Linked DNA regions of Struthio camelus. The protein of the gene in region 2 purifies or fractionates together with the protein of the main gene of each other region. This does not show direct contact. Links are inferred from orthologs where the notes say so. Each region holds a gene or a part of one and is shown on either strand. Other genes may lie near its edges. The genes, in order: CNOT6, CAPZB, CNOT2 and CNOT11.

What was found.
Region 1: the proteins of CAPZB (region 2) and CNOT6 purify together in Homo sapiens (co-immunoprecipitation; 3 studies listed by BioGRID and IntAct, with this or other methods). This does not show direct contact. The link is inferred for Struthio camelus from reciprocal best matches to the Homo sapiens genes CAPZB and CNOT6.
Region 3: the proteins of CAPZB (region 2) and CNOT2 purify together in Homo sapiens (co-immunoprecipitation; 4 studies listed by BioGRID and IntAct, with this or other methods). This does not show direct contact. The link is inferred for Struthio camelus from reciprocal best matches to the Homo sapiens genes CAPZB and CNOT2.
Region 4: the proteins of CAPZB (region 2) and CNOT11 purify together in Homo sapiens (co-immunoprecipitation; 3 studies listed by BioGRID and IntAct, with this or other methods). This does not show direct contact. The link is inferred for Struthio camelus from reciprocal best matches to the Homo sapiens genes CAPZB and CNOT11.

Annotation. Positions count from the first base shown.
Region 1 is NC_090954.1:6,505,565-6,513,344, reverse strand, and holds the start of CNOT6 (CCR4-NOT transcription complex subunit 6), read right to left. Parts: upstream 3,013-7,780; 5' UTR 2,979-3,012; coding exon 2,933-2,978; intron 1,558-2,932; exon of another isoform or gene 869-1,557; intron 1-868. UniProt on the Homo sapiens protein: Poly(A) nuclease with 3'-5' RNase activity.
Region 2 is NC_090962.1:12,918,928-12,926,901, forward strand, and holds the start of CAPZB (F-actin-capping protein subunit beta), read left to right. Parts: upstream 1-4,969; 5' UTR 4,970-5,137; coding exon 5,138-5,140; intron 5,141-7,974. UniProt on the Homo sapiens protein: F-actin-capping proteins bind in a Ca(2+)-independent manner to the fast growing ends of actin filaments (barbed end) thereby blocking the exchange of subunits at these ends.
Region 3 is NC_090942.1:41,015,892-41,022,904, forward strand, and holds the start of CNOT2 (CCR4-NOT transcription complex subunit 2), read left to right. Parts: upstream 1-4,007; 5' UTR 4,008-4,146; intron 4,147-7,013. UniProt on the Homo sapiens protein: Component of the CCR4-NOT complex which is one of the major cellular mRNA deadenylases and is linked to various cellular processes including bulk mRNA degradation, miRNA-mediated repression, translational repression during translational initiation and general transcription regulation.
Region 4 is NC_090942.1:152,289,808-152,297,483, reverse strand, and holds the start of CNOT11 (CCR4-NOT transcription complex subunit 11), read right to left. Parts: upstream 3,008-7,676; 5' UTR 2,994-3,007; coding exon 2,552-2,993; intron 1,696-2,551; coding exon 1,531-1,695; intron 1-1,530. UniProt on the Homo sapiens protein: Component of the CCR4-NOT complex which is one of the major cellular mRNA deadenylases and is linked to various cellular processes including bulk mRNA degradation, miRNA-mediated repression, translational repression during translational initiation and general transcription regulation.

The DNA.
Region 1 (7,780 bases), on a different chromosome or scaffold from region 2:
TCAATACACAGATAAAAAAAACCAAGGCACATTGTATGCCACAGGGCAAGAGTCAACCTCTCTCTCGTGTAGCTAGGACTAGAAACGAAATGTAGGGTCTGCAGAGATTGCTCTTCTGGGATTTTAAGGTCTGTGTTACTTTTCCAAGCTCATACATAATTATTACCTCTGGGCACTGTACATTTCTCCTAGCAAAAGTAATATCGGGTTAACTATCAATTCTTGTAAAATATGCAACTAGATTCTAAAGACTAAAAGTATATTTCATTCATGAAAATACCGTCTAGGTACACCCTTCACTTAAATTAGCCCCCTTTGGACCAGGGACGGTGTGTTACAAACTGCACATACACACACGTTCAGCCACAATTACATGACAGAACAAGAGAAAAATTTGAATTTCAATAGTCTGCTGGTAAACAGAAGAAGTAGGCCTACAGCCTCTGCAGCAGGGGCTACGCAACCGGAACGAGGAATTCAGGTTCACCACCTGGCCTCCTAGGCACGCTGGTAATCCATATAATAAGCTACATTGCACTACAAACAAAAACACTTAGCTTTTTGGCATTCCTACTGATAGAATACAGCCCATTTTTATTTTCGCTGCCATGCTTTATAAAAGGGATGCTTTTGTTGTTGAGTTGGGAAAGAATTTTTAGTTTGTTCACCCTTGGGAGCATCTACCCCTTTTCAAGGATAGCCTCTTCCATTATGAACACTGCACTTGTTTAGAAGAGCAAGTCTTCCTAATATCCAGAACAGCCTGACCTTAACATTTTTTATTTCTACGGGTACCACACTCATTCGATTTGTGACCCTTTGTGACATGTTTTTAAGTCTTCATATGTAAAACGTCAAGAGTATTTACCTGCCCATGCAGTATTACAGTCTCATCTATCTTTATATTTCAGTTCTTCCTCTAAAATTCAAGCACAGTAAACAGCCTGAACACATCAAGACTGCGCTCAGAGTTCAACTTCAATATGCAAACAGAAAAGAGATGCATGGTAGTATCCTTTTAATAAAATGGACCGATCCAAGCGATTCAGGTGCAAAGTGAATAAAGAGTTAATCCAAACGTGAAGGGCTCCATTTCAGTAATAGCATGAATAAACCCCCACAGAAGGCTTCTTTGCTAGCAGCAAACTCCACAGAGTCCAGATGAACCAGCAGGAAGAACAGAGGGTGGATAATCCTGTAAAATTACCCCAGTGGAAATGTTGATAAATTCCCAATTACGAGACCTGCTCTAGAATGAAGAAAAAAAAAAAGTGCAAGATACAAAACAATTACCAGTCAACACTTGTATATCCTCATATTTAAGCCAGACAAATGCCACAGCTATTTCTGAATCCCTTGTATTTTGAATTAGTTACCCATCGTGGCAAAATCTAGACTGAGAAAATAACCCTCAAAAAAAAAAAAAAAAAGAACCCAAACCCAGAAGACTTGCTAGTCGCAAAGCAAACGCCTGCCTATGCGCTTATATTTCCAGTAATGCAATTCTTTGTGCATCTGCAGAAATACAGATGTTTATTAAAAAAATACAACCCTGTTTTACTGTGTCTGCTCTGAATGCATTTCTTACACTGCAAAAAGCAAAGTAAGCTTTGTATGACTCTTTAACATTCGTGGAAAAGCTCCTGGTGAACCGTGTCTGCAACACAGAGGCACAGAAATGCAGTTTTTAAAAGTCTTGTATGGCCCCAGACTTAACATTTTCTATGACAGGGTAAAGGGGGGGAAGGCAGCCCCGGCAGAGGGACCCCGGGAACTCCTACCGCATTGCTTCACGCTCCGAGAGCGCAGGCAGCACAAAAAGCCTCACATTCAGCTCAGATTTTTTTAGACTGCCGGACAGGTGCACGGGGACTAACGAACGCAGTAAAAATTCCTCCCCTAATTAGCTCAATTAAAGAATAATGGCCTCTTCAAGAGCGCTGCAGCCCGACGCGTTTGGATACCTCCCACGGCTGCCAGCGGACGCCCCCCTTCCCGCGGCGCCGCGGACAAACAAGCCCCTTTTGGGGCCGCTGTCCCAATTCCCCTCTGTTTACCCCTGCATGCGTCTGTCCCCCGGCCTCACGTGGCCGCGCAAGTCCCGCCCCCCGCCTGCCCTCATTGGCCGGCCGCGCCGTCCGTCACGCCCCCCCCCCCCCAACCTCGGCCGTCTTCCCCTTCGCCGAGCGCTGCCAGGGCCGCTCCGGCCTCCCCGCCGCCAGCTAGGCCGCTGCCCGCCGCCGCCAGCCAGCGCCGGCCCCAGCCGCGCCCCGAGCAGCGCCGGGCACCGCCGCGGCTGAGACCCATCGGTCCCTCTCGGGAAGGGGGAAACTGCGCTCGGAGCGCAGACGGGCGATTGTCACATTGATGTCATTCCCCCCCCCCCCCAACACACACCTTTCTCCCTGTCTTTGTTTAATTATTTTAAACTCAACTGCACAGTTTAAAAAAAAAAAACAAAACTTCACGCTTCCAGATGTCATTAGGCTAATTCCTCTTAATTGCCTTCCCCGGGCCGATACGCCCGGCAGCTTCCCCGCTTCCCCTGCGCCCTGCACGCTCACCCGCCACATCGGTGTTTACCTGCCCGCCACCGCCGGTTGGCGGCGGGACCCCCCGCCCCGCACGGGGGCCCGGCCCGGCCCTGCCCGCGGCGGCAGCAGCAGCCGCCCCCGGCGGAGGCAGCGCGCTGCCGCCAGCGCCGCCCGCGGCCGCGCAGCCCCTTCCCCCAGCGCCGCGCCGCACCCCCGCCGGGCCCGCGGCCCCTTCCCCCAGCGCCGCGCCGGGAGGGGCCTGCGCGGCCGCAACGGCCCCGGCCCACGGCGCTGACACCCCCCTCAGCCCGGTGGTGGGGGTGGGGGGGGAACCTCCCCCTACCAACTAACTCCCACCGCCCCCTCCAAACTCCGAGGAGGTCCAACCCCCGCCCTACCTCCACCCCCGGCAGCCCCCGCCGGGCAGCGCTCCCCGCTCGCCATAACAGCGCTCCTCCCTTCCCCCACCAGCGGCCGTGCCCCCCCCCGCCCCCCGGCCCGGCATTAATACTCCTCCCCGCCACAGCGCCCCCCGCCCCGAGGCCGCGGGGGCGGCCCCTACCTGTGGCTGCAGCATCCCCGTCGCCCCGCCGCCCTCTCTCCGCCGCCTGCCTGGCTCTTTGTTTCCTGCCGCGGGCCGGACGGCAGAGCAGCCCCCCCCCGCCTCCTCCTCGCACTCATTGAAAGCAAACAAGCATCATGGCGGTGCTGCTGCTGGTGGTGGTTGTGGTGGTGGCGGTAGCGGCGGCGGCGGCGGCGGGCGGGCCGGCCCTGCCTCCTCCGGCCCTGCCTCCCTCCGCCCCGCCCGCCGCCGCCGCCGCCCACAGCCCGCGCCATTGGCCGCGCCGGGCCCCGCCGCCGCCGCCGGCGCCGCCGCGCAGGGCCCGGGCCGCGGCGGGGGGGAGCGAGATGGCGGAGTCGGCGTTGGAGCCCCGGCGGCGGGGAGACCGGGCGGGCTGGCAAATGGAGGGTGGGGGGAAACCAGCAGCGGGGGTGGCCGCAGCCGCGTTTGGGGGAGATCCGGGCAGAAACGGGGGTGCTGGGGGGGGGGGAAGCGTGTCTGGCCCCGCAGAGGCGCCCTCCGCGCGGGCCCGCGCCGGGCCGGGGGAGGCGGGAGAGGAACGTTTCCTCTATGTTTCAAATATTAGGCCGGTGTGAAGGGTGTAAAGCAGTGAAACAGCTTCTAGCGCAAGTCCAGGAAGCCTAATTAAAATAATCGTGTATTTTAACAACTTCAAATTCCTCTGCGTGTAGATAAGAATCACTAAGAACCCGAACGTGCAGTATGCGTGCTCAGACAAAATGTGCTTTTTATGAAGGGCGATGTCTTTTATATGTGAGTGTCTTCAATAACAAAATAGTGCCCTGGATCGTTTGCTGCTGACGTTTGCATGGGCGATGTTTACGGTAAAATGGCAACCAGAGTCACCATCGGCACCCTGTGTGAAATGCAGGTTAGGTCTCCTTAATTTCGTGTTTGAACCAGTTAGTGGAGGTATACCGAGATATTTGGAAAAATAAAGGACGTTGTTGTTAGGTGTTGTTATTACCGCCACTGTGCCAAAAGATTTTACCGTAAGACAAGAGATGCGAAGGTAAGAGATGTGGGGAACAAAGAATCAGTGAAATCAAAAAATCAGTGGGGTAGCATTGGCCAAAATTGCAAATAATGGTCTCAAAATGGAGTGGATTTCCCTTGATTATCATAAAGTTAAAACGTCCAAGCGATGTTGAGACAGAAAATTGCTAGCGCGCTCAACGTGCCCCATCTAGTCAAGAGGGATAGTAAGCAAAAAACGTTATCACAGAAATGCAACCTATTTCTGAAATAGGAAGGCTAAAAAGAACTGAAGCTTCATCTGTTTAGGTATAACTGGGTATGTAAGTGAAAATAAACGGCACTTACATAGTTGTGGAACAGGCCATTCTCTTCTAATCTAGTTGAAAAATGGAGACTACCTCATCTTGCTCCTGCGCAGCACCGACAATGGCCAGCAAAAGAAGCACTTTGCAAAGAATGACCCCACGCGGTGTACCAGGCGTGGTCATAAAATGGACGCAGCTGAAAAGTTTACTCCCTTGGTGCTTTAAATAACATGCTATACCTCAGATTTCTGCCCAGCCTGCTCAGGTCACGTATCTGAAATTCTCGGATGTTGAAATGTCTCCATGCTGCATGATGCAGTAGGGTTTTGAAGACATCTGAGCTGGCTCCGTTACTGGACGTAGCGCCTGTTCTGGCAGAAGTGCTGGATCTGCTTCCAGGGCTGAAGCTGGCTCCTGTAGAGCTGACAGTCGTTTAGAGCTAGCTCAAGTAGCTCTATGTGTCATTCTCTTTTACTATATATGTTTTATTTCTGATAACCAGCTGTCACCCACATTCTTCAGTTAATACTTTCTAGGTCAGATATGGCCTCAATCGACTATATCATTTTGCCTAGAGTTAATTCTCCAAAAGCAGTAGTAAAGTCTTTGAATGCATTGCAGAATTTTCCAGGAATTGCTTCTCAACAAAGAACACTCAGCTGATCGTAAGTCTTTCAAAATTTGCAGGGAAAATTCATTCCTTGGGGATGGGTACTGGGATAATATTACAGTAGACTTGGAAAGGTCTACCGGCAAGGGCCTTCATCATTGCAAATGGAGACCAAATGGCAGAAAATACTAGTAATTCTCAAGTAATTGAGATAAGCAAAAAAGAGAGCATCAGAGGAAATCATTTAAGAGCGCTCACAAAATAATTCTGTAGTATTGTCTATTATATAAATCAACAGGTGATCACAGCAATTGGGCAAATTGACTTTCTGGTAACTTTAGAGGTTATTTATAAAAAAGCAGCAATATTTGAAGAGTCTAAAGTTATGGCCTTTTATGTCAATAAGTTTTGTTTGAACAGTCAATTTGATTATGTGATTTGAAAAAAAAACAGAATGAAGTAAAAACACGCATGTGGTTTTTTTAGAAACCGTTATGCTACAGTGAATTTCCTGTGCAGAAGCACTGTTGCTCATCTGTGCATACAATTAACTTTTGCTTCACGTTAAGTGTCATCAGAACTGTAACCAGGCAAACACTGCAGCAGATGGCTAGTGCCAGTATTAGTGTTTCTGGTCTGGGTGCTTAATGAGATCTGAGAGTGTAATACGAGCCTCTTTCATTTTGTCTGTCTCACATGGCAGATATACTTTATGCAAGCGCTCTTGTTGCTCAAGGTCACAGATTCATCAATCAAAAGAGAGCCATTCCCATTAATCTTTTACCTGCCCGTGAGAGTTTCCATACATCTCAGGAGCTGCAGTGTCACATGGAGCGTGCTTGTCCTGAGCTCAGGCCAGTACTGTTGTTAAAGAGAGTCAAATGAGTGCAGAAAAGTTAAATTCAAAATAGTCTGAGCTTAAGTTTTCATTCATAAATTAAATAGTACATAAATACATGTTTGTGCTGTGGAATGGGAGTCTTTGAGCGGCCGCCTTTAGGCCAAACCTAGCTTGTGGCACACAAGCAAGTGTCCCACTAGACAAAGGTGTATGTCCTACAGTCTTTCTGATCTTACACCTGGAGCTATAAGCATTTGCTGTGACCTAGCTCAAAAACTGCTAGCAGCCCACTCTCTCTGTCATCTTCCCTCCTCATGCATTTATTCAAGGTAGGAGCTGGGGAGTGTGGAGGAGAGGGGGGTGGGGAAGGTAATTGTCCACGTTGCAAATAATTACAGCTGTTTTGAGAACCTATTGCCTCTATGCATTGACAGAGGGATGTGAAACTTGTGGTAAAGAATTGCCTTTGTGGCAGAGTTATGGTACGTTTTGCTTTTGCCCTTGTTTAAATGGCCAAATTTGGTAAAGTTAGAATCATTTGAAATACAGACTTGCTTGACTCAGTAAAGACTTGCTTGACTTCTAAATTCTTTGAAGTAAAAGACAGAGTCCTTCATCCTTTGTGACTCATATGGGATGAGCGAACGCAGGAGGCATCTCCCCATCCTGAAAGAAAACAAGCTCAGAGCTGTCCTGGCTTGGGAAAGCTCTTACGGTTTTGGTTACGGAAGAGGTGAACAAGGAGACTTTCTGTGCTGGCTGCACTCCCACTTTGTGTCTGGGAAATGTGAAGACAGAGGAGCAGAGTAACTGCAATGTACGGGGATGAGAAATGGAGCAGAGAAGAAAGAGAGCAGCATTGCAGTGAAGCAGGATGGATAATGAGGAGGAAGGAAGGGAGTGAATGAAGCAGGTGAGGGATCCCAGACAGGAGGGCAGAGATCACTTAAAGCCTGATCTTCTACATTTTCAGTATATCCAGGTAGAGAGACCAGGGTCTGACTTGCAGAGAAGCTTCCAAGGCAGTGGAGATCAGTGGGATCACTGCTCTGGACATGGGACGTTGCTGCAAACACAGATACTCTGAAAAATTAGGTCTTGGGGCGCTCACATCGGACATCTAGAATCACTGCACGCTTCATGATTTCAGCCTTTAGTTTTATGGCCTGTTCTCCATTTATCAAGTGAACATAATAGCATCTGTTGTCATAGTGGGATGGTAAAGATTAATCTTTGATGTTTATTGAGCATTAAAAGTATAGGAAAGCCCCATACAAAAAGCATTGAGGAGATTAATATTCCTGGTTTCCTCTGGACAGAATGGAGTGAGGCGGCTTCCAGAAGACTTGTGTGTGAAAAGATAATTGAAAACTGCCCTTACGCATATTCACAGTAGAGCTGAATTAAAGAATTTGAATCCTGGGATGCCATAGTTTGTAGGTACTTAGCTTTGCAACCCTAGCATTACTTTATTACATATGTTTGTATTTATACAAAAGTTGCCTAAATACTTAAGAAGAAATTGAACATGACAAAAAGCTTTCAGCTATTTCTTTCTAGAAATATCTGCTTTTAATATTAAGACATCCGTAATAAGAGAGGGATTTCTAACTCCTTTTTGTCAGTTAGGGATACTAATGCTGAGCTCTACCACCACCCAAGATATTTGTATACTGTGTTTAAATGACTGGTATAATTACTTAGATATTTGATTCATTATCAGGACTATAGCAGTTTAAAATGCATGTTGAATCTTATTCTCTTCCTTAAGCTTGCAGGACTAGAGGAACATTTAGTCGTTAACATTTTCTAGTGTGTCCATTTGGGTTATACTGCAGTAGTAAAGCAATAGATCTAAAAAATCCCATGGTTCTTACTCATCCCAATCAACTGTTAACATCTGAACACATTTACGAAGCTGACTTGGAA
Region 2 (7,974 bases):
GGGCAGTCTGACCTAAGAAAATCCCTAGCTGTCCTTTTCATTAAATAGAAAAATTAATATTCAGGAAAGCCTGACAAGTTTTCTCTAGGAGCTAATTTCTAAGCACCTATGTTCTCGTAAGTATTTTTGGTCCTGGCTGAACACTGGAATAAACAAAATAAATAGCATTTCACCCTGCATGCAACACATGCAGGGGGATGAAATAAAAAGCATATCGTGTCAGACTGCAAATGCTTTATGAAGTTCTGGCTTAATGTGAAAAGTACTCGGTAATGCTAATAAAAAGTATTTATCCTTTTGCTTCCTTGAATATAATCAAATATACAGGGAAAGCATATGTATTTTATAGTTGCTGACTGCAAGATCAAAAGCTCTGTTATTAATTGCACATGAATCTGATGCTGTAGGGCTGTTAAGCCGTCAACTGACATCATTGTTTGCTTCCTTTGTTTACAGACCCTCATTTCACAGATGTATAATGCCTGACACTAAGCCCTTCCAGCACGCTCTTTTCTCTTTAGGTGGATGATCCCGTGTCATGATATGTGGGGAAATGCCTGTAAGCTGACTAGATCCAATGGAGCTGAGCTCTTGAAATCGCTCTGGAAGCGGTGGTGCAGGTCCCCTACCCCTGTTCGGCTCTCTAGAGGCTGGGAACACCAACACCTTTATGAGCCTCCCGCAGAGCACCCTGAGGCACGGATCAGAGGATGTTTTTGTTTTCCTGTGTGTTTTCCGGTTTCCTAGCAATGTGCCCCAGTAAGGACTAATCTATATGCCGCTGTATTGTAGCGAGTCCTCTTAACTCCAGAAAATATGAAGAACAAGCAGCTGAACTCTCAGAAATAATTCTCATCCCTAGTTTTCAAAATGCTGTATGAAATACAGCTGCATATAGGAGAACTCCGCTCTCTGGGCTCTGAACCTGCTGCTCAGCTGTAGGCTTGCGAGGTAACTTAGCTTTGTGACCCACTCCAGCAATTTCAGTGTTGGGATCTTCTTTTGCCTTGAAACCTGTGCAGAGTTTTTACAGCGCTGCAAAATGGATGGAAGTTGTTACTGCTCTCATTGAAAGGCAATGTGTGCTTGTTCGCCATAACAGCTATTCCAAGCGTAGGGCTATGCAGAGGCTGGGCCCCTTCTTGAGCCACTCTCCAGGCTTGAAGCTCCTGTTGCTAACAATATTTATCAGTCTTCTCTCATTTCCTATCCTGCCTTATGGTTGCTCCACAGATGGCCTCTTCAGCTGCCTTTGTAATGCATCTTTTGCGGTTTTATTGAAAATCTTATGGCTAAAGTCCATCTCTGCATTTTCTTCCCTTTTTTTTGCCTTCAGATTTCACTCACTTTGTCACAGCATCAAATCAGAATCAGACTTTTCCTCGAGCAGAGGTTTTTCAGTAACTCTGCTTCTTCCACCTGTCTTGTGGCTTTCACAGTTGTCTGGCTGTTAAAATAGGGCTGGATAAAACTTATTTCAGTTTCTGTTGTTAAAGCAAACAAACATACACACAAAACCTAGCAAAGCAGCCCTAACCCTCAAGTTATCCCAACTGAATTTACTTATGTGAAGAAAAAGCCTGCCCTGAGCAAAATAAATAGTACTGCTGCTGTCCTTATGCCAATCTAGTGCCTTTCACCTGTGCTTCTTAAAATCAATGTGCCAATTATGTTGCCGTTCCTGCTAAAGGGATTATTTTCCTTAGAGTCTGGAGTAGATTAAAGAAAAAAAAGAATACAGCATCATATACAAGGGTCATCCTACTTAGCCCTGAACTACCACCACCTCTGGAGAGGAACATAGCTAACAATGCAGTTAATAACACCGTCTCGCGACATTCACAGGTTTCTTGCATGTCTCCCACATATAGACCTGCACTGGCTTTATTTAGCTGTCAGCCCCTCCAAGAATCACAACAGAAGGTAGGATGGCTACAACCGTAGTTACAGCTGCAGAACCCTCTGCCTACTCAGACGCAGTCCGCGCTGCAAATTGCAGCCTACAAGGAAGGGTCTGGTCCTACATCTTAGTAAACAAACAAATAAAAAAAAATTCCCTTAAGCATGTCCTGCTATAAACAAGCAAAGCAAGCAGCTGGTCCTCATTTGAAAAGATGTTCCATTAATTTCAAAAGGAATCTGCAGATCTTCTTAATGCAAATATTTTTGGGAAAACAAAAAGCAGCTGTTTATTCTTCTTTATACCTATTAGCAGAAAAACGAAATCCAGAGTGCTTGTATTTCTTCCGCTAAGAAAAACATCCTCTTGGCCTCAACGTTCATTTGGATCTCAAATTGTTTAAACTACACCAGGCTGCATGATTCTTGCTCTCTTTCTTCAGCAAGAAGCTAGAAACAATTGTTGTTTCTAAGCATAAGAGCTGCTAAACTAAAAGCACAGTGATCATTGCATGCCTTATGTGAGTTTTGTGGCAAAAATCATGAGGTTTAGAACACTCATTTTCAAGTTTATATTAATGCTATCCTCCCAAGGCCCTGCCCCTGCACGTAAGATGTGTGGACCCCTGTATAACAAATGACTAATTTGTTATGTGCACAGAGCAGGCTTGCTTTTCTTAATTACTACTCATAGGCACCTCTGAGGGAACATACGGACTGAAGGATCTGGGGACTGCATAAGAGAAGCCACTTCAGATTACTGCATGTTTTAATTGGCCTCAAAGAGGCTAGGCCAACTGGTGTTGGTGAAGAAGCAGATTCAAAGAATCAAGAGCAGGAAATGCCTTCTGAGGTTATGCGGCCTATCTGCTAGGCAGGGGAAGACTGTTTCCCATTTCATGGTGTATTTGATAGTGGCTTACCGATGAATTTATGTCCCTTTGTTTTTCTGTGAAGTAATGCAGCTCCTGCTTTTCTCGAGAGATTATTTTTACTAATTGCTATCCTCTACTTGCTAGATTCATTTTGTTTCTGCACTGAGAAGAGCAGAACCAGAGGCGCGGGAGAAAAGCAGCAGTGGGCAAAGGTGAACTTAAATCAGTGGCAGCACATTGTCAGAGAGTAATCAAACTATAAAATCAAAACTTAAGACATATAGTTTGCATGAACAGTGACAGCCATTATGTGTGCATGTGGGTCGTGTCAATTTACCTACGTAACGGTTATGCCCTTAAACTAGATGATAGCTCATGCTAGCTTTCATAACTGAGTACGCATACCTCAACAGTTAACTTCTCCGGAAATTTAGCCGGACGCTTTCACCACAACAAAAACAACAAAGCTGTTTTGCCCTGAGTATGCGTCAAGTAAAACGAGCATTGTTAGAGTTTTTACTTCTTGGAAGGTCTGGTCTGGGATCTAATAGTTAAAACATTTAAGAGCTGAGCCATGAACAACTGTGATATGTTAGTGCAAAATCAGGACTTGGCCTTGGGTCATCCCCTGCCAGAAGGATGTACCACTAAATATTACATCCAAGGGAAAAATGAAGGGGTCCCCTTAAGACTACATAATTTCTATTAAAATTTCAATGCAGGAATTGCACACGCTGTCAGAGTTTCACACCCGCTCCAGGAGGATTACATCAGCGCAGGAAGCGGCGCGCGAGTCCCCTTGTCAGCAGTTCCAGTTTCCACAGCAAAAGTAAATGGAACAACAAAAGGGGCTTTGGCTCGCAAGGGCCAAGTCTGCAACGCAGCAGCCAGAAGGCACCAGTGGAGGGTTCTCAGGATGCTGGCGCTCCAGCTCTGCTGCAACCCGGGCCAAATAATTGTTCAAAAAAAAAAAAAACCCCTAGAGGAAACCGTTGCCACGTAATATATCAGCTCTTCTCCTGGGGTAACTAGTTAAGTTGCATTTGTTAACTTCACGTGTCCAAAATAATTTAGAAGGACACGTACAGAGTCTGCAATCAGGATGAGTTTTACCCAAGGTGGTTGAAAAGTGAATTAGTAGATTAGGAGGGAAAAAAACCCAATGTTGTCCTTTTGGGACAGTCTGAGAGAAGCAAAACATGTTTTATTTGTATATACACCCCGATTTGCTGATTTTTATCTCTCATTTGGCGATCTGCATCTCAGCTGCTTAAGCCTTGAAGTCATCAAAATATGTCTCTGCTTAACTCGAAGCACGTACCTACATGCTTTGCTGAATCAAAGGGTAAGCTTCCAGAGGAGGCTGAACGCTTGCCATTGCAATTAATTAACCTTGTCCTTAAGTAGCCAGAGGCTGATTTTTTTTTTCTCCTCGCAACTCACGCTACAGAGCTCAACAGTTAAGAGATGACTCTATTTTAGGCCACACAAGCAATGACGCTTATCAGGGTTACCTCTGCAAGGGCTGCTTGTCAGCTGCTTGGCGATTGGAGGAAGTGTACCTGCTCAGGCTGGCGTTTTCCATGCTAAATGTGGGCCTCGTGCTGCCTTTTTTCGTCTAATCTCAAATTAAAATCTTAAAAAACAAAAAAATCTAATCTAAAAATCTGAAAAAAGGAAGGGAAAAAAGGCAATAAAGCAGAAGGAAAAAATGAAAAAGGAATAAAGGGAAAAAGGGGAAGGAGAAGAAGGGAGAAAAAGGGAAAAAAAGGGGAAAAAAGGGGAAAAGGAGGGAAAGGGGGGGGGGGTGCAGAGGCGGACGCGGTGCTTGGCGGGGGGCCCTGCCCTGAGCGCGCCCGCGGGCTGTTGGCGCGCCCGCCGCAGGCCCCGCCCCCGAGCCCGCCCCCCGCCTCCGATTGGCCGCCCGGCCGTGCTCCCCCCCTATACCTGAGTTGGTAGCTCCCGCCGCCCCCCTCCCTCCTCCGGCCCGCCGCGCTGCTTCCCCCCCCCCCACCCCCGCCTCCCCTCGGTCCCTGCGCCCGCCGTCTCCCGCCTCGGCCTCGCTCCTCCCCGCTCAGCTTGTTCCCTCCTTCCTTCCCCCCTCCCCCCCGCGGAGGAATGGTTCCCTCCCTCCCCCGCCCCGCTGGCCCGCCGCGCTCCATACTTGGCGATGGCCGGCGAGCCGCGCGCTGATTGGCGGCGGGGCGCGGCGGGGCGGGGCGGGGCGGCGCTGACCCGGATGTTCACGCCTAAGTCCACGGCGGAAGTGACGGGCCGCGGCCTGCCTCGGAGGGAGAGCGGAAGCGACCGGGAGGCGCCGCCGCCGCCGTTGCCACAGCCCAGCGCAGCCCCGCCGAGCCGCCATGGTAAGGGCGAGGCGGCCGCCGCGGGGCCCCTTCCCCGGCGTTGCGGGGGGGGGGCTGGAGCCCCGGGGCGGCGGCGGCGGCGGCCCGCTCCGGGGAAGGCCGGTGGCGCGGGGGCGAGCGGCGGCCGTTAGGCGCGCGCGGCGGCCGTTAGGCGCGCGCGGAGGGGGAGGGGGGGGGAACCGCCGGTTCCCTCAGCGCCGTGAGGCCCCTGCCGGGACCCGCTGCCTTGCCGTCGGGCCCGGTCGAAGAGGGCCGTAGCCGGCCTCGGCAGCTGAGCGGGTCGGCTGGGGCGAAGCGGAGCCGGGCCGGGCCCTGGTGCTCGGCCGGCCCAGCCCGCGGGCGCGCAGGTTTGCTCGGAGTTACCGGCGTGTGTCCTTAATCCCGCTCGAGAACTTGCGGTTTGAGTTGTTGAACCTGGCGGCTTAGGAGTGTTCACCTGTCGTCAGATAAAAGGGGAAGAAAACCCCACTGCCCGGCTGCGTAGCAACGTGGAGACTGGTTAAGTAGGCGAGTATGCTCCTTTCCTGCTGATCTTTGGCCTTGAGAATTTCAGAGGCCATGACTTATTTATCTTCCAAGTTGGCGATGGTGATGATCCTGCCACCCGCATTATACAGGGTAAAATTTTCAGTCTCTCGTGAATGGTGAAGTGCGCCCGAGATCAAGGCTCTGCTATTCTGTTTTCGTTTGAACACGGGAGATGCTGGACCTGACCTGACCTCCGAGTGCGGAGGGTGATGGTGCTGAACACGTTGTTTCAGTTGTACGTAAAAGAAGATTCTTGACTACAATCTTCTAGATACGCAAGACGTGACTGTAGACTTTGAAATCAGGACTCTGACAAACCGTCCAAACTTTGGCTCTGGTAGAAGCCCTCATGGAGGGAAGAAAATTCAGGGAAAGCTAGTAGGCCTCGCATAGAGTGAAAGTGATGGCAAACAAGTTGTCCTCTTGAGGGGATATGAAGGCATTCTGTGAGAAGAAGAAGAATGCTACAGTTTGGATAAGAAGAATCTAGTTTGGGTTTAAGTGTAACTGTATCAGTTCTTTGGGGAGGCGGAGTACAAACCCTTTAGAAATTTTATGAGAACTGTAAGCTCGTATGCTGTCACCTGATTTTTCATGCTTAATAATGGAGAATGCTGGGTGTGGGAGAGATTTGATCAGGACTTTCAGCAGTATGTGCTTGTCTCAGTTGTTGAGTGGCCCTTGAGTATGAACGCGCTGCAGCCACTTCATTGTTCATATATCACAGTTGCTCTTTGCAGATTTGAAGACTCACTTAAAAGATGTAGTAATTTAAATGTGGTTTATTTGTCTCTAGTAGAAGCATATAAGACGAATCACTGATCACATTCGAAAAGGACAAATGATCCAAATTTAGTGTATGTTGTTAGTGGAAGCGCAGACTGAGGTTTCAAAGCTAATGTTCGTAATGTGTAACTGAAAATCTTCTAAAACTTTATAGACTCCATACAATTAACTCACATTATGCAGATAATGCAATTATACCATGTAGTACGTAGAATACTTCCAGTATCTTTATTTTTAAAGGGTATGAAAGCGCAGTCCTGAAATGCAGCACTGACATTCTGAAACGTCCCTGGCATTGAAGGCAATAGCATGTTTCATAGCAGCTGGGAGTTGTTATGGCCCAGGATATTTGGTCAAACACCTTCTTGGTACCGTGGGATTTCCGATATCTGCATGGAACAGATGGACGGGAGCCACTTCTCTTTTGCACAGTCACTCAAAAGCATCTTAAATCTGAATTGTTCTTGCTGAGTTTAAATGTAATTTCAGAAGTGCGTCAGAATTTCAGTCAGCTGCTAGGTGGAATGGGGCAGGGCAATGCGTGAAGCCTGAAATCTGTCTAGATAGATGTTGGTCTTTTGTGCTAAAAATAAGCTAGCTGGTGGACACGACTTCAGAAGGTGGAGCCGCTGAGGTTTCTGGAATTGTGGGTTACCAATGGATAAAACCCAGTCACTGTCCATGTAAATGAGGGGAGAGGGGAAAAAAAAGTCAGGGCAGTTTACATGGCCTGGAAATGATTGTGCTTATGTATTTCTTGTGCTATCCACCTCCATAGTAAAAAGCAGGCAATCTCAGTAAAATTTATAATTCAATCAACCGGAAGTTTGAATTGTCTAGTGTAGCGCTGGCTGCACATCATCCGCTTAGAATTTGCGAGGCAGCTAAAAGGCATTGAAGCACAGCCAGCGATGCATGATGTGACGCTGCCACTCAGGTACTTAATCTTGGTGTGCTGTTCAGAGTAATTAATATTTTCAAGGTAGGGGCTGTTTGTCTTGGGCAAATGCATTGCTGCTTGATAAATAACTTGGGTTTGTACAACTGCTAGTAAAACAGTATTAAATGACTTGTAAAACTGAACAGCCAAAGGTAGTACTTTTCCAGATGCCTGAACACTGAGCGCCTCTCTCTCCTGCTAAGCTAATCATGTCACTTTTGAAACCGTAGCATATAGCATAAGAGCTCGGGGTAGGTTTTCAGCGCCCACAGAAAGTCCTTTGCACCTTGTGCTTTTGGAGAAATACTGACTTAAGCTGTTTTGTAGAGTCCATGTTTTGTTAGCCAAGCCAAGCATGTGAGCTTAGCTAAATGTTATCTTAAAAGGCAAATTCCCAAAGTAATCAAGTTGAAGGATATCATTGGGATAGGGAATACTGGCATTGCAGTGATGCTTAATCTTGTGGTTTATTAGCGAAGGAAAAACGTTCTCAAGCTCAAGTTGTTCAAACAGGATTTCCTCATTTGGTAAATACATATGCTGATATCTTACTAGTTGACATCTGGGAGTAAAACAAAAT
Region 3 (7,013 bases), on a different chromosome or scaffold from region 2:
GGTTTCCTGACAGTAAAAATATATCTGAGACTATACTATATATCCGAGACTGAATATATCTGAGACAGAAGACACCTCCCCTCCTGTTCCCAGTATTCCCTCCTGGAAACTACAAATCCAGCAGATGAGAGGCCATCTGTGTGGATACCTTGTACTGCATTTTAACAGTAAAACACTAATGGAGCTGCACTTCCAGGGTTTCCCTTGCCAGTAGCCATCCCTGGAAATCCCCTGTAGGAGTGAAAGGATAGATGAGGACAGTGCCATGGAAACAGTTGAGCCTTTCCTTACCTTATCTAAATAAACTAGAAACTGCAGACTAACTTGCAAAAGTCAGCCTAACTATGCAAATCCTCCTCCCAAATCAAAGTATTTAGCGCTCCACTTCAGTGGAATAAATAAGAACTACGAGACACTACAGTGAGAAAATGAGGGGCCTTATTGTCTGCGCTCTTGAAAAAACAAACTCATCTTTGTGGTGAGATCTTGAATAACAGATTTGGCATAACATATGCTTTGACTTATCTTTATCCTGTGTTTTAGAAATATTCTAAAATCAAATAGGCTGTATTTATGAAAAAATCTACGTTCTTCTGAGGCAAAGATCAGTGCATAATAGTCAACAGGTGAGCACCCTACAGTCGTGCTCCAAAGACAGCAAATGGACAGTTTTGAAAATCATGCAGCAAGAAAGGTATCTGTGAGAAGCTGCTGCTCCCAGTTCACGGCGGGTCTTACACAGTTCCAAATTCTGTAGAAACCAGAAACCTCTGCCTTTTTTGGAGGCAACATTTTACTGTTTTAGCTAATCAAAGGCAGCTTGCAACTGAGGGGCAAAATCTTCTGGCTCCATCTGAGTTTCTTCTAATGCACTAACGTCAATTTGTGGAAGAGAAATATGGCCTATTTCATCACCATTGAAAAGCTGCTAATCCTTGCTCTAGGCAATTGCACTATTTGTTTTTCTTAAGGAATACTGAGGCAATCTATAGGTTGAAGAAGGAAAGACCCTTGTTGCTCTCCAATGCACTTCTTTGTTCTAATTAAAATGAATTACAAGACCAGCTATTCATCAGATTCTGCCTCCACTCATGATCTAGGATGGTGGTCTTATTATCAGGAATTTAATTTTACATTTTGGCAAGGTAGATGGAACTTCCTAACCGTGCGTGCCTCATATATACTCTGGGCAATTTGTCTTCCTCCTGCTTCTGCGACTGCGTAGTCCACATCTCTCAGTGCCACTTTGAATGGAGCCAGCTAGCATACAGAGGCTTTCTGGAGCAGGTACTAAGAAAAACTGCACAGAATTTCCAGTGATCTCACAGAGTCGCGATAACAAAGCATTTAGGGCTTCTGAGCACATCCCTCCCTCTTGTTGCCACCTTCCCAAGTTTTTTCAGGCTGCCAGTGCTCCACCCAACTGCTGTAGGCTTTTAGCTCTCTGTGGGTATCAGCATAAGCAACAGTCAGTTGGGAATACTAATGGCTAGATGAGTTTCATGGCTGCATCAAAATATGCACATTAAGGCCCCAGCCTTTCATGTAGAAAACTATGCTTTTGACTTCATCAGAACCCCATTAATACTTGACTGCATGGGCCTGCACATGCAATGAGCTGCAAGACAGGTTTTCTGTAGCTGCTGCCATCACACATTGTTCCTTCATCTGTGCTGCTGTATACAGGTTTGCAATAGGTAGTCTAACATTGATGAAAAAATTGATGCTTATCAGCCTAGTTGGTGAAATAAGTCCAAAAAAAAAAAAAAGGGAGACCTTTAATTAAATGGAATTGAAAATAAAAAATGCGTATTGGTTTGCAGACAAAGATTTGCCCAAGGAGGTCAAACTGAATATACAAGGGTCAGGTTCAAAATGGATTAGGAGCGTCCACACACAATTAGTAGCCATTTAATTAAATGAGCTCAGAACACCTCTTCAATTATGCAGGTGCCACTACGCAAAACAGGCCTCACCATTGTAGAAAAATGTATTCAGCCAATAGTAAAAGTAGCAAATGTAGGCAACACATTCCTCACAACTCAGTCTATTTATCAACCTGAGATTATTTTCAACCACTAAAATGCTAACAACTTTCACTTTCTTTAAGAAAACAAATGAGGAAGTCACATAAACACATAGTATAGTCACAGTGACAGCGTTCCACAACGAAACACACAATTTCACGGAGAAAGGCAGGTTAGATTTTTTAACTGACAGAATTTAAATCACAATTTACACAGGTTGCGATTGCTGCTTACGCTATCATATTAGGCTAAGACAATGAAAACACACTTTTTTGCATTCCCTGGCTCTGTTGAACTATATAGCCTTGCATGAATGTTAACTGACCTGCATGTGAACTGTAACTTGGTAATGGATACAGAGATCAGTCCACGCAGATGCAACGAAAACATCAGATGTTTAGTTTACTTGCATCATATTGTACTGGACATTGTAAAGTCTTAAATGATGTCTCTCTTTTGGGGAACAGAATGAAATTTAGAAAAAGAAACTCAGTTGAAGCATAAAAAGAAACATAATGGAGTAAAACTTTTACAAAAGGGATGTGCAATGGTCAGCAAGGCAGTAAGAAAAGCTTATTAAATAAGAGCAAGGATTAATGAGATTCATTATTGTCTTCAGTTTGAAAGCATAGCCTTACTGTCTGTAACGTGATATGAAGAAATATTTTTTAGATTGAACAACAAAAGTACTCCCAAATCTCATAGATATTCTAGTTAAAACAGGATGTCACTTCTGGGCTTTTATAATGGTTAGTTTATAGCAAATATACAGGTATTTGAGATACAAAGGAAAGGTTCCAAAATAAGGATAATAAAATAGAATATTTTCCTGGGTGAAGTGTATGAATATTTATTTCAATGACATGACACCTTGTAACTGTGCTCAGCAAAAAGTTGATGGCATTAATGAACCAGTTTCCTAGCTTGCAGAATGTGTTCTTTCAGCTTCAAAAATTGCTTATGTTGACAGATGTATTACTGTAGATATTAACATTTCTTTAAAACGTAGGTGTTGTGTAACCTACTGAACATACATATTTTTTTAAGTTCTGTTTGGAGACATTCATTATGAAGGTACCTGAGTGATGAAGAAAGCATGCCTATGAAGAGACTGGGGAAAAAAAAAAAACAAACCCTGTTCCTGATAAAGTATGTTCATTTTTTGGTTTGAATTTTCAAACTTTATGACGATTTCATAATGAAATTAATGCGGAAGGTTCCACTAACAGCTTTTCTTGATGGGGCAGAGAAGTCAGCTCACAACCGTAAAACACTCATGTACGGGCTTAGCTTCAGCACCGTTTACAGTCCCACTGAATTCAGGGGGATTATTTGCATTGGGAGTGTTTCGGGCATCCGCACGTGCCCTACTCGTAGCACCGACACACATACTTTCAGGGTGATAAATTAAAAAAAAAGAAAACAAAAGGACAAAATAACAGAGCAGTCCCATCTGGGCAACTTTTTTTCCCCATTTTAATATCTGGCCAAGCGCACAGGAGGGCCTGGCTGCCCGCCGCTACCTCAGCCACAGAAAAAAACCCCACCAGCTTGAGCAAAATTGGGCCCATCGGGAGGGCCGCTCCCGTCCTCGGCCCCCCTAGGCCGAGCCCCACGGCCCCGAGCCACGGCGCGGCCGGGGAGCGGGGGGGGGGGGGGGGGGGCAGCCGGCGGCCGCCCCGCACGGTCCCCCGCGGCGCCGCCATGTCCCCAGCGGCACGGGGCGGCCTTCACAAAATGGGGGCCGGCGGGGCGCCGCGGCCTACTGCCCGCCGCGGGGCCCGGCGGCGGCGGCGGCGCGGTCCCAGCCGCTGGGCCGCGTCTCCCCCGGGAGGCGGAGGGAAGCGCCGCCGCCGCGTCTCTGCCTCCTCCTCCTCCTCCTCCTCCTCCTCCTGCTGCTGCCCCCGCCCGCCGCGGCCCCCGGCCGCACCCCGCGGGGCCGCCCCGCGCCGCCTCTCCCCGCCCCTCGCGCGCGTTGCCAGGCCGGGCGGCGGCGGCGGCGGCGGCGGGGTCACGGCGGCGGCGGCGGCCGGGTCAGAGGGTAAAGGTTGCTCCCCCAGCATCCTCCGAGTTGGGATACTCAGCCATCTTGGATTCGCGGGACAAGAAAATTCATGCGGTGAGTCCGGCCCGTTTCTGCCTTTCCCTCGGCCCCCTCGCCGCGCCGCCCGCCCGCCGCCGCCGCCGCCTGGCCCCCCGCCGCCGCCGCCGCCCGCTCGCCCGCCCGCGCCGGGGCCCCGCGGCTCCGCCGCCCGCGCCGGGGCCGCGCAGGCCCGCGGCCGCCCCGCCGGGTTTCCGTTTGCTTTTGTCTCCGAGGGGGAGCGGGGGGGACGCGCGGCGCCCGCCGAGGCAGCGCAGCCCGCCGGCCCGGCTCGGCCCGGCCCGCCGCCGCCGCTGCCGCTCGGGGCCCGCCGAGGCCGCGGCTCGGCAGCGGCGGCGGCGGCGTCCGGGCCCCGCGTACCGCCGGGCCCCGCGTCTCCTGCGGCCGGCACCGCGGCCCGGGACGGCTCCCGGCCGCCGGCAGAGCCCCTCGGCCCGGCCCGGGCCTAGCCGCGGCCGCCGGCGCCCCGCCGAGCCCGCCCCGGCGTTGCGGTGCCCCCGGCGCCGCCTCCGCCGCCCCCGGCCGCGGCGCTGCGGGCGCCCACGGGCCGCGCTGCCGGGGCGCCGCTGCCGGGCGGCGCCGCTCGCCGGAGTGGCCTTGCGGCCTGCTCCCTCGGTGCCCCGGGGAGGCCCCGGCTGAGGAAAGGGGGTGAGGCGGGGATACTTCTTCCTTGTTTTCTTTCAAAAAATGTGCTTTTTAAAAAAAATTTTGTATACATTTTTATAAATATATATATATATATATTTGTGCGTGCACCCGTTTCACTCTCCTCCTGGCGGCGGTTAAGGCGATGTGTAAGGAGGCTCCGGTGTTTCCTCAACCGTGTCTGTAAAACAAACTTGGAGCGAACTGGTCCGCTGTGCCGAGCGCGGATGCTGCCGTGCTGTGCGCGGTGGTGCCTCGGTCCGGGCGCCCTGGCGTGAACCTGGCCCGGGGGCAGCGCGCAGGAGCGGCGGGCTGCGGTGGGAGAGCCCCGTTGGCGGGGAGGAGTGCGAGGCGCAGTGTTTACCCTGTCGTATATGTGTGTGCGTGTGTGTGCGCGCTTCTGACTGGAACTCTGATTTGCTTGCAAATATCACGGGTTTAGAATTTATGTTTTTTAATCACGTTACAGGTAGCTTTGTTTCAGGGAGGGTTGTAACATGACAAAACGACAACCTGCTTGTGTTGGTTGTGGCTCAGCAGCTTCCGCTTTCTCACAAGGCTGTGTTGGGAAAAACTCGTTTCTGACTTTGCGCTATTTTATCCCTATGGGAAGATGGAAACTTTATATGTGCGTATGTGTGTGCAGCTTGAGCGTGTGAAGGAAGCACTTGCGTTGGCCTGCGCAGCAGTAACATCTGGTGCTGGTGACTGGCCACTGGACTTAACTCCAGCTGGGGGGAAGCAGTTTAAGATGATCAAACCTGCTGTCACATCAGTTAGGAAAAATCTTTTTATTTCTGGAAACTGGGGTATTTTTCAAACTCCTAAAACGTGCAAAGGCCTGTAAAAGCAAGATAATTTTGTAGGTTCACATTGCAAAGATATCTTTACTTGGACCTAGAAGAACTGCTGTGTGTACATTGGTGTTCTTCAAGTTCTTTCATAATCGCATGTTAATAGAACACAGCTTGCAAAATCCAGTTTTGTGATCTTAAAGACTATGTATGTGTCCAGTACCTTTTTTTATTTTTTTTACTGCCACTATTGTTTATGCTGAGAATTCAGCTGACATGATAAACTTGAAGGTGTCAACTGCTTCAGATCTTAGGAAGGGATTTGAATACTTCATATCGTGAGCTGAGTGACTTGACTTGCAAGTGTATTTCCGTTTCACTTTCAGGAAGCTGATGATAAAGCTAAGAGAGCTTTAGTAGATAAACCTTGTCTACACGTCTCTTCTAGAAAGTTAATATTGTTGTCAAAGGAGCTGTTGTTAGAACTGATGCATGCACGGGTAGCCCCAGTAACAACTAATGAAAGCAAAAGCCCTTGGCTAAGAACTAAAAACAAAAATCCTAGAATTTGTGAAATTTAACTTGTATTTTCTTTAAATGAGTCTAATTTTAGATGATTGGTACTCAGTGGAAGAAATGGGGTAGTTAACATGTCCAAGTTTGATACTAAAAACTGGTGCCACAACTAGCTGTTTACACCTGAAAGTGTTGGTCTTTACCTTTGCCCGTTAATGAAAGTTGTGTATACCTGTAATGGAATGGTAGCTCTGATAAAGTGTTTGTGTTGTATTTGCCGAATTTCTAAATGAATTTCTGTCTAGACAGGAATTAGTTTTGAAATTAGAAAATTCGTTGCTTTTGTAGCCTCTACTGTGTTTTTATTTTTTAATTTATTTCTTGTGTTGGTGCAAGGGCCTGTCTTTTCTGAAGTTGCAAGATTGTAACTTCATTATAGTTTAAAAACAACCTTGGATCATAGCTCTATATATTTAAAAACATCTCGTACCTCCTTGTTATTATTGACTCAAGAGGTGCATGTAACTAAAAATACACCGTAATTTAGTTAAAATAGAGGTTTCTTGCACACCACTTTCTGACTTGATCTAGAAACTGTAGAGAAACATTCAATAGCTTTTGTTTTGTTATGAGGTAGTATAGAAAATGCAGCTCAGCTTCTGAGTGCAAATTTTTAACTTTTTTCAGATTTTTTCTGCTTGTAAAGCTATAGCATACTTGAATACAGATTTTAAAAGGCACTGTAAAGGATGTATTCTTAAAAAAAACTCAAATCATTGGCAAAATACTTGTCATATTTGTTGTGTTTATTTCTAAACGTTAGCTTAGAAGGGCTCTATGCCAGTTTGTATAGAGGTACAGTACCATATTCAGTCAAAAAACTTTTTGTCACAAATTTAGATGTTTGCTCTCTAAATGATAAAGGATAGT
Region 4 (7,676 bases), on a different chromosome or scaffold from region 2:
AATTCATTTCGGGGACAAAAAATCAAAAACAAAAATAAGCAAACAAACAACAAAATCCACTTTCCAGAGCCATGAAGCCTTACAACTTTTACGTTCCAGGAAACATGGAGAAAAATGGGACAAATCCAACACCTCAAACATCGTATTTAAGCGTTGCAACAGAAATAAGTCTGCACTGCATAAACAGCACAGCTTCATCTTGCATTTTGAATCATTAGGAGAAACGCACTGTAAATTTTTCAGAAGTCTTCAGTATTTCTGAAACATTACAAGTAGACAGTCAAGAAGCATGACAATGTTGAAATAAGAGCGAAAAGAGTCAACTTCTAAGAAAGTGGATAGAAAGAAGACATTTATTCTTGGAAGCTACAGCTCGAAGTATGAGAAAGGCAGCATAACGTTTTATCAGAAGTACAGTATTGCTATGAGTCTTTGCAAGAGTTATATAACAAAGCTAGTTATGCATGTTTACTATCTTAAGTAAACATACGAGCACATCTTACAGGGCTGCATTTTGAAAAGCACCATTAATGACTGTACTGTTTTTAAAGACGCCACTGTCTTGCACTTTAAAAAAAGGGCAGAATAAAATGCATTGAGTACCCATCCATACAACTGTGACAACCCCTCAAAGGTAGGTTAGTGTATTCAATGTTGCATTTTCAAAACATCCTGCAGTCTGGAAATCATGTCTGAGGAGAACACCAAAGAAGATTTATACACTGCAAACAAGGGACAGTATAACAGAGCATAAGAAAACAGTGACTGATCCTGCAAAAAGCGATGAGATCAAAATACAACGGTGGGACTGAGAAAGCCTAGTCAGTGCATAATTCAGAGAGGTGAACCACATTATATAGATAAAGAACCAGGAGGATCAGTTTTCAGGTGAGTAAACCCATTTGCACATAACTGGGGAAAAAAAAACCCACTAATTTTTGCTGTCTAGACTGGCTCCTCGTCCCCCACAATATTTTCTATTTCAGATTACGTCCAGAAGACGAAACGATCAGAACAATCATGCTCCTTTCTCCTGTCAAAGGATAAGCATTACTTTGCTTTTCTTTTCAACCTAGCAAAAGCAGACCGTGCTCCCAGTCTCGAGCTCACACTTGAAAATCTGACTATTTCATAAAACTGGAGATGCAATTGTAATAGCCAATCTGCCAGCTGCAGCTGAAATACTGCTATGTGACAGTTATCCTATGTTCTTTCATACTAGAACTACTGCAGAGAGTGAAAAGAGATGAAAACATTCATGGAAAGAAAAGAAACAACGCTTTAGATGAAAATACTTTTATACTTGTGAAAATATCTTATTTTTAAGGCAGTGAGGACTTCTGCGCGTAGGAAATTGCTTTTTTAAGTAGAAACCTCAAGCACAGATTGCTTTATCCTATTACTCAAAACCACTGCTGAACCTTTTTAATATTTAGGATAGGCAAGAATGTTTCCCAAGTAGCTCACAGGCAAATTATAATTAACAGTTGAATTCTAATTGAACCATGGCACACTGCGGTTCTTCCTTACCTGCTAAGGCTAGCTGAAGGCCGCTTATATCCACTGACTGGGCCATGTTCCCTACATCCATTGAAGCAATCTGCCGAGGAGTCTTCTTGAAGAGCTCTCTTGGGGGGGCCAACATCAGTTGAGACAGAAAGAACTTTTCTGGAGGAGTTATGGGAGGTAAAAAGCCTATGAAGACACAAGGAAAAATAATCCCTGACTGTTAGGCCAGCCACATTAGTACTTTCAATAGTCTTCACGGAGAAGCAGCAAACAAAAACAGAACACAAACTACTGTATGATTTATGCTGACATCAGTGCAACTGAAAAGTCTTTGTAAATACACACAAAACCTGTATCTACTCAGCTCCTAAGGTAAAATTCAACATTATACCTACTGGTTCTTAAACACAAAAGTAATCTAAAAGCAGAACATGCTGACATGCAACACCTAACACTAAGTCAGTCATAAGTTTAGACTAAGTAAGTTTAGATAAGTTTACATAAATAATGAGCTATAAAACATGACATGATATGCACCGCCATTTATACAGAAAGTAAACCAAGAAAAAATTTAGGAAGTGATTTACCCATCACTGTCATGCATGTATTTACTGCTGGGGGAAACTGTATCACATATAGGGTTCCACGTATTTCATTACAAAGTTTGTTTCACCGCTTTTAAGAAGCTGTTGAGAAACTCCTATTACCTTCACGACTTTTGTAAAAGCTTACTCACGAAAGCTCCGTTTTACGGTCCAGTCAAGCAAGCTCTGCCAGACCAGGCCGCACGGGCACGGCAACGCTTTAGCCATGAAAAAGCGCCACCGTTTTGCACTCCCCGCCACCCCCGGACGGGAACGCCTGCCGCTCTCCGAAAGCCTCGAGAAGCGCTACGGAGGGCAAACGGCCAGGCGGCTCCCAGCGCCTCAGCCCGCCGCCGGGGGGGGGGGGGGGGCTGCCCCCCAGCAGCGCGGCCGGGCACCAGCCGCTGCCCCCCGGCCCAGCACCCCCCCCCCGCTCCTCCCCACTCCCCGGGACGCACCGGAGAGCGGCGTGCGCTCGGCCTCGTCGCCGCCGCGCTCGGGCGCGGGGTTGAGGAGGTGGGCGAAGACGGCGGCGAAGGGGTTGGCGGCCAGGGGCTCGGTGCGGTACATCTCCCAGAGGAGGTAGAGGGCGGTGAGGCGCTGCGCGGGGCTGGGCAGCAGGTCGGGCTGCTGCAGGAGCAGGACGAGGACGGAGCCGAGGCGGAAGTGCTCGGCCTTGCCGAAGTAGTGGTGGAAGGCGCTGGAGAGGCCCTCGAAGGTGCTGCCGCCCGCCTCCTCCGACACGATGCTCAGCAGGCTCGACAGCTCCTTCGGCGACAGGCTCATCCTGCCGCCCGCCGCCGCCGGGCCGCCGCCCGCCCCCGCCGCGCCGCCGGGCTCCTCGGCTCCCACCTGAGTGCAGGGCGCCGGGCTACTGCTGCCGCCGCCGCCACCGGGCATCCGCGCCCCCGCCCCGCCCCGCGCAACGGCCACCGGCCCCGCTGCGCCCCGCGGCCGCAACGCCGTGCCGGCACCGCTTTACGGCGCTGCCGTAAAGGCAGTGCGGGGCCGCAACGGAGCGGGAGGGCGGGAGGGAGACTCCGGCTTGGCGCGGGGCGGGCAGGCGAGCGAGCACAGGGCGCCACACGCGCGCGCGATCGACCCCGGCGATTGGCCGCCTGCACGTCCCCGTGGAAAGCGATTGGCCGGCGCCGCGAAGCGGGGAGAGGGGGCGGGGAGATTGGCCCTGGCTGCGCGGCTCCGCGTGCTGCCATTGGTCCGCGCCGGGGAGGGGGTGGGGCCGGAGCGCGCCGGCGGCTGGCAGCGCGCGGCCGTTGGGGCGGGCCGGCAGGGGGAGCCCGGCGGCAGCCAGCCGCGGGGGGGCCGCTCTGCGCGTGCGCGGGGGCGGCGGGCCTGTGCGGGGCGGGCGGGGGCGTTTTTCTCCCTTCCCTTAGTTTTCCTCCTTTCCCTTTTTTTTTTTTTTTTTTTTTAATTAGAGGAGAGCAACAATCCCAGTGTAAGGTGCATGGGGAGCTGCTCGGCTTCCTGGTGGCCTGCTGGACAGACCTCCAGGGAGATAACTGCGACTAGAACCCACACAGCAGGGTGGCTGTCATACAGCGATCTGAAGAAATGAGGTGCTGTTCAGGAGGAAGCAAAATGGTTGACCTGTAGCTGCATCTGTAGCTCTCTCCATCTTTGCCTGTCCCTGCTGAGAGGTAGATTTAGCATTGTTTTCTTGGCTGAGGAGAATCAATCACAACTGCTTTTAACAGCAGAGCTATTAGGTGATTGATTGCATTTTCTTATGATATCCTTCAGTTAAGATCACTGACTCATCCGAGTTGCTTTCTGAAACAACAGATGAAACTTCCAGCCCAAATGTCTTCTCATGTCATAACCCAGAGTGGGAGCAAGGGCACGTGCCTGACACGTGGACAAATGTGTTGTGAAAGGTTGCGTGTCTGAGGAAGAGTGACAGAGAAGAACAGAGAAGCCAGGGCCGTGCGTCAGTGAACAGCCAAGGCAACCTTGCCAATTCCTGCTGTTGAAACGTGCTTATTCTCGCTGTCCACTTTTGTCCTGCCCAAAGGCGATCCTGGAGCTGGGGCTCATCTGTTTCTTCCATGAGCTGATTCAACTGGAAACTATCCACTGAAGGGTTTCTTGCAAGACCTGAAGGCCAGTGGAGCTGCAGTAGGGTGTGACTGGAAGAAAGGGAGAAAGATCTATTTCATCAGCTTACCCTGTGGAACTGCATCTTGAGATCGACAGCAGCCCACAGACAGACCAAGCACAGCCTGAAGAAGTGCTGATAATAGTTGAACGAATGTTAGCCATGTGGAAGACGGTCTTCTGAAAGCCTTGTTGGTATAGTGCCTGTTCACTGACTAGATCACTGTGAGAAATCTGCTTGCAAAATACACAGGCTAAACGAGTAAAGGAGATGGAAGAGGAGGCTGGTGAACTTGCTGTCTTGGCCCAGAGTATATTCTAGGAAACAAGGAGTCTTGGAAGTTGGGGCAGTTTGGAACTTACTAACAGCTACAGCAAGGACTTAAATTGTAAGATTTGGGAGGAAGATCAAAGGACTGCAAACTGCTGAAGGAAGTCATCTATGTAGGTGTACGGTGAGGCTAGCAGGACCGTAAACCTGGGAAAGTTTAGACATGTAGGAGAGCTTTTCTGCCTTACTTGTGATACATAGAGGAGGTTGATTACCCCCACTGAAATAATGTGAAAGCTCGGTAGTTAGGAGAGGAAGGTTCCTCAGAACTCAGATGGCTTTCTGGAAAAATAGGTGGAAAGGATGAACTTCTGCACCTGGCTTGAACACTCAGTCTTTGAGGAGACATTTCAGCTTACAAAGAAACTGAGGATATGCAGAAGAGACCAACTTTATCTTCCCCTCTGACCCACCAGCACTCATCTATAGAGGAATTACTGCAGTACTCTGTTCTTGTCGGGGAAAGATTTTTTGGTTTTGTGGGATTAAAGAACCATTGTTCACTGGGGAGGTGAAACAATCTCAGTGGTCTGCAGAGTGGAAGAGGCCCTAGTGGCTGTTCCTCTTTCTCTTTGAAACAGCTATACAGACGAGGGAATCTGGTTTGATACAGGGATATAAAAGACTTGGGAGAGTGGTAGCTTATTACAGCAAAACTAGGTTTTCTTGATAGGAGGTACTGGACTAAATGAAGGAGACTTGTATGAGTAGCTGTGGCTAGAAACGTCCATCATTGTGCACAAAAACAGTGAGGTTCATAACGTTCATTGAGCTCAGTGCCCTCTCCATGACTGCTAGTAGAAGCTTAAAGAAAGGGTGTAACAGGGAAAGCACAGAGTGACACTTCCCCCTGTGTACTCTCAGCTTCTGGCCATCTGCAGCTTAGAGACTTCCTGAGTCAAAGGTTGAATCCTCATCACTGTGATTAGTGAAATGGAACTTTCTTTCATGAGCTTGTCTTACGTGTTTTTTGAGCCTGTTTATATTTCATCCATAAAACTCTGTGACACCGCCAACCTATGGCAATGAGCGTGGCAATTTAAGACCCCTTCTGTCCAAAACAGTACTTCCTTCTCCACTCTCTTCGTCACTCATCATTCTGTACATCTCTTACTTATCTTACCTCAGGTGTTCTCTTTCTAGGCTAGATGTCTCATTTGTTTAATGTCCTCTTCTGTAGCATCTATTCCATAGTTCTGTCATCCTTATTGCCCTTCTATCCTGCTTTTCTACTTCTGGTATATCCTTTTTTTGAGTAGTGAGAACCAAACTTGCATCCAGTGTTCCACCTGTGAGTGTCCCGTAGATCTGTAGGTTTACACACCTTTATGTAATGAGACCTGTTTTGTTCTCTGTTGCTTTTCCAGTAATGCCTAGTATGCTGTTTGCTGTTTTGACCAGTGAGGGTTGAGCTGACACTATCAAAGAACTGTCTTCAATGACTCCAGGTTATCTTTCCTCAGCGGCAATAGCTGGCTGGGTAGCACTGAACTCTACAAAAGGGAAGGATTCCTTCCCTTTCCACCCCACCCTCGCTGCAGTATTTTACATTTATCAAATATTTGATTTCATCACCATTCCACTTAGTCATTCAATATTATGAAAATCTCCTGCAGTAGTTTCCCATGAGTTTGACAATCCTGAATGATTTTGTCTCACTGGGAATCTTTGAGCAGCTGCAGCATGTACCCAGGAAGAGTGCATCATCAGTCCCTTTATGTACACACATGGAGGTTAATCCTCAATGTCTCACCTCTCTGGGCACGTTTCTGTTCATTGCTGTAGTTTCCTGCAATGTGTACAGAAATTGGACTTGGTGGTTTGTAGTTTGTTGGATTATCTGCATGACCTTTTTAAAGATTGATGTGACATTTGCCACCCTTCTTTCTTTGATACTGAGACCATTTTGATCAGCAGGTACACCCACAGTTCATAGGTTATCATCTTCATCCTTCAGCTGGTATAAATCTCTTGAGTGAATCCCATCTGCCACTGGTGATAAATAATATCTCATTTTAGGCAATTAGGTTCACTTCTTTTACTAACACTGCAGAGTAAGACAGTTCTCTTGACTTGTACCCCGTCAGTAAAGGTTCTTGTGTGGGAACGTCTCCCAGATCTCATGTAGAGATGCAAAGAATTAATTTGGCTTTTCTCTTAAAACCTTTTCCCCTCAGTGTTTTTTTATATCTTGCTCATCTCTTGGATTCACAGACTCTCCAGATTTTCTGCCTTTGGTGTGCGAGCAAAAGTCATTTTTTGTTCATTTTTGGGACGAAGTTTGTTGTTAGGGATGATGACGCCTATATCTGTGGCTCACGCTGAAGGACACTTTGCTGGATGCTGTCTCACAGTTGAATAGAACTGTGGTGCTTCTGTCCAGATGGTCTTTTTTGTACAGCCTACTTCTTAATAACAAACTCTGCTGAAGACAGCAGAGCAAAAGATTTGTTGCAAGAGGAACAAACATGTTTAGAAAGAGAAAGCTTCTTCCTATAATTTGCAGAAATGTAAGTCACTCTTGTATAGCATATTTACTGGAGTAATGGATGTAGATTTGCAGAAATGGACTTCAGAGCAATAAAAAGTTTCCCCGGGTGACTGAGATAGCAAAAAAACCTGTGTGACTCATATGTGGCTAATGAAGCCATCTTAAATTATTCTATCCAAATGAAAAGGTTTCTGATCAGAGCAGGAAAGCTAACAGTTTAGAAGATGGAATACTTTATAGGAAGTGGGATGGGCAGCAAGCATCAGTTGACAAAGTAGATAATGAAGTCCTCATGACTTTTAAAGCAGATGTCCGTTTTGCGGGAGCAAAAATCTTAGCCTAAGAAAAAGATGGGGGTAAAATGCTACTGGGACGGGAAGTATAGTAAATGTGCTACAAAAGAGGGTTTCCATAACTGCACAAGGTGCTATGTTTTGTGAGCATATTGAGCATACGCGTTTTGTGAGCGTATTGCTGCTGATGTTCTCAGGCTTGAAACTTGTGCAAGGAAGAACCAAGAGAATGTGATGCTAGCGGAGGCTCAAATGAATGAATTCTCGCCCAGATATGACTTCTAAAAGGCACCACATTACTCTCAAGGGGGAGATTTGGGACGCCAGCTATTTCAGTGGGTTTATATTCCACG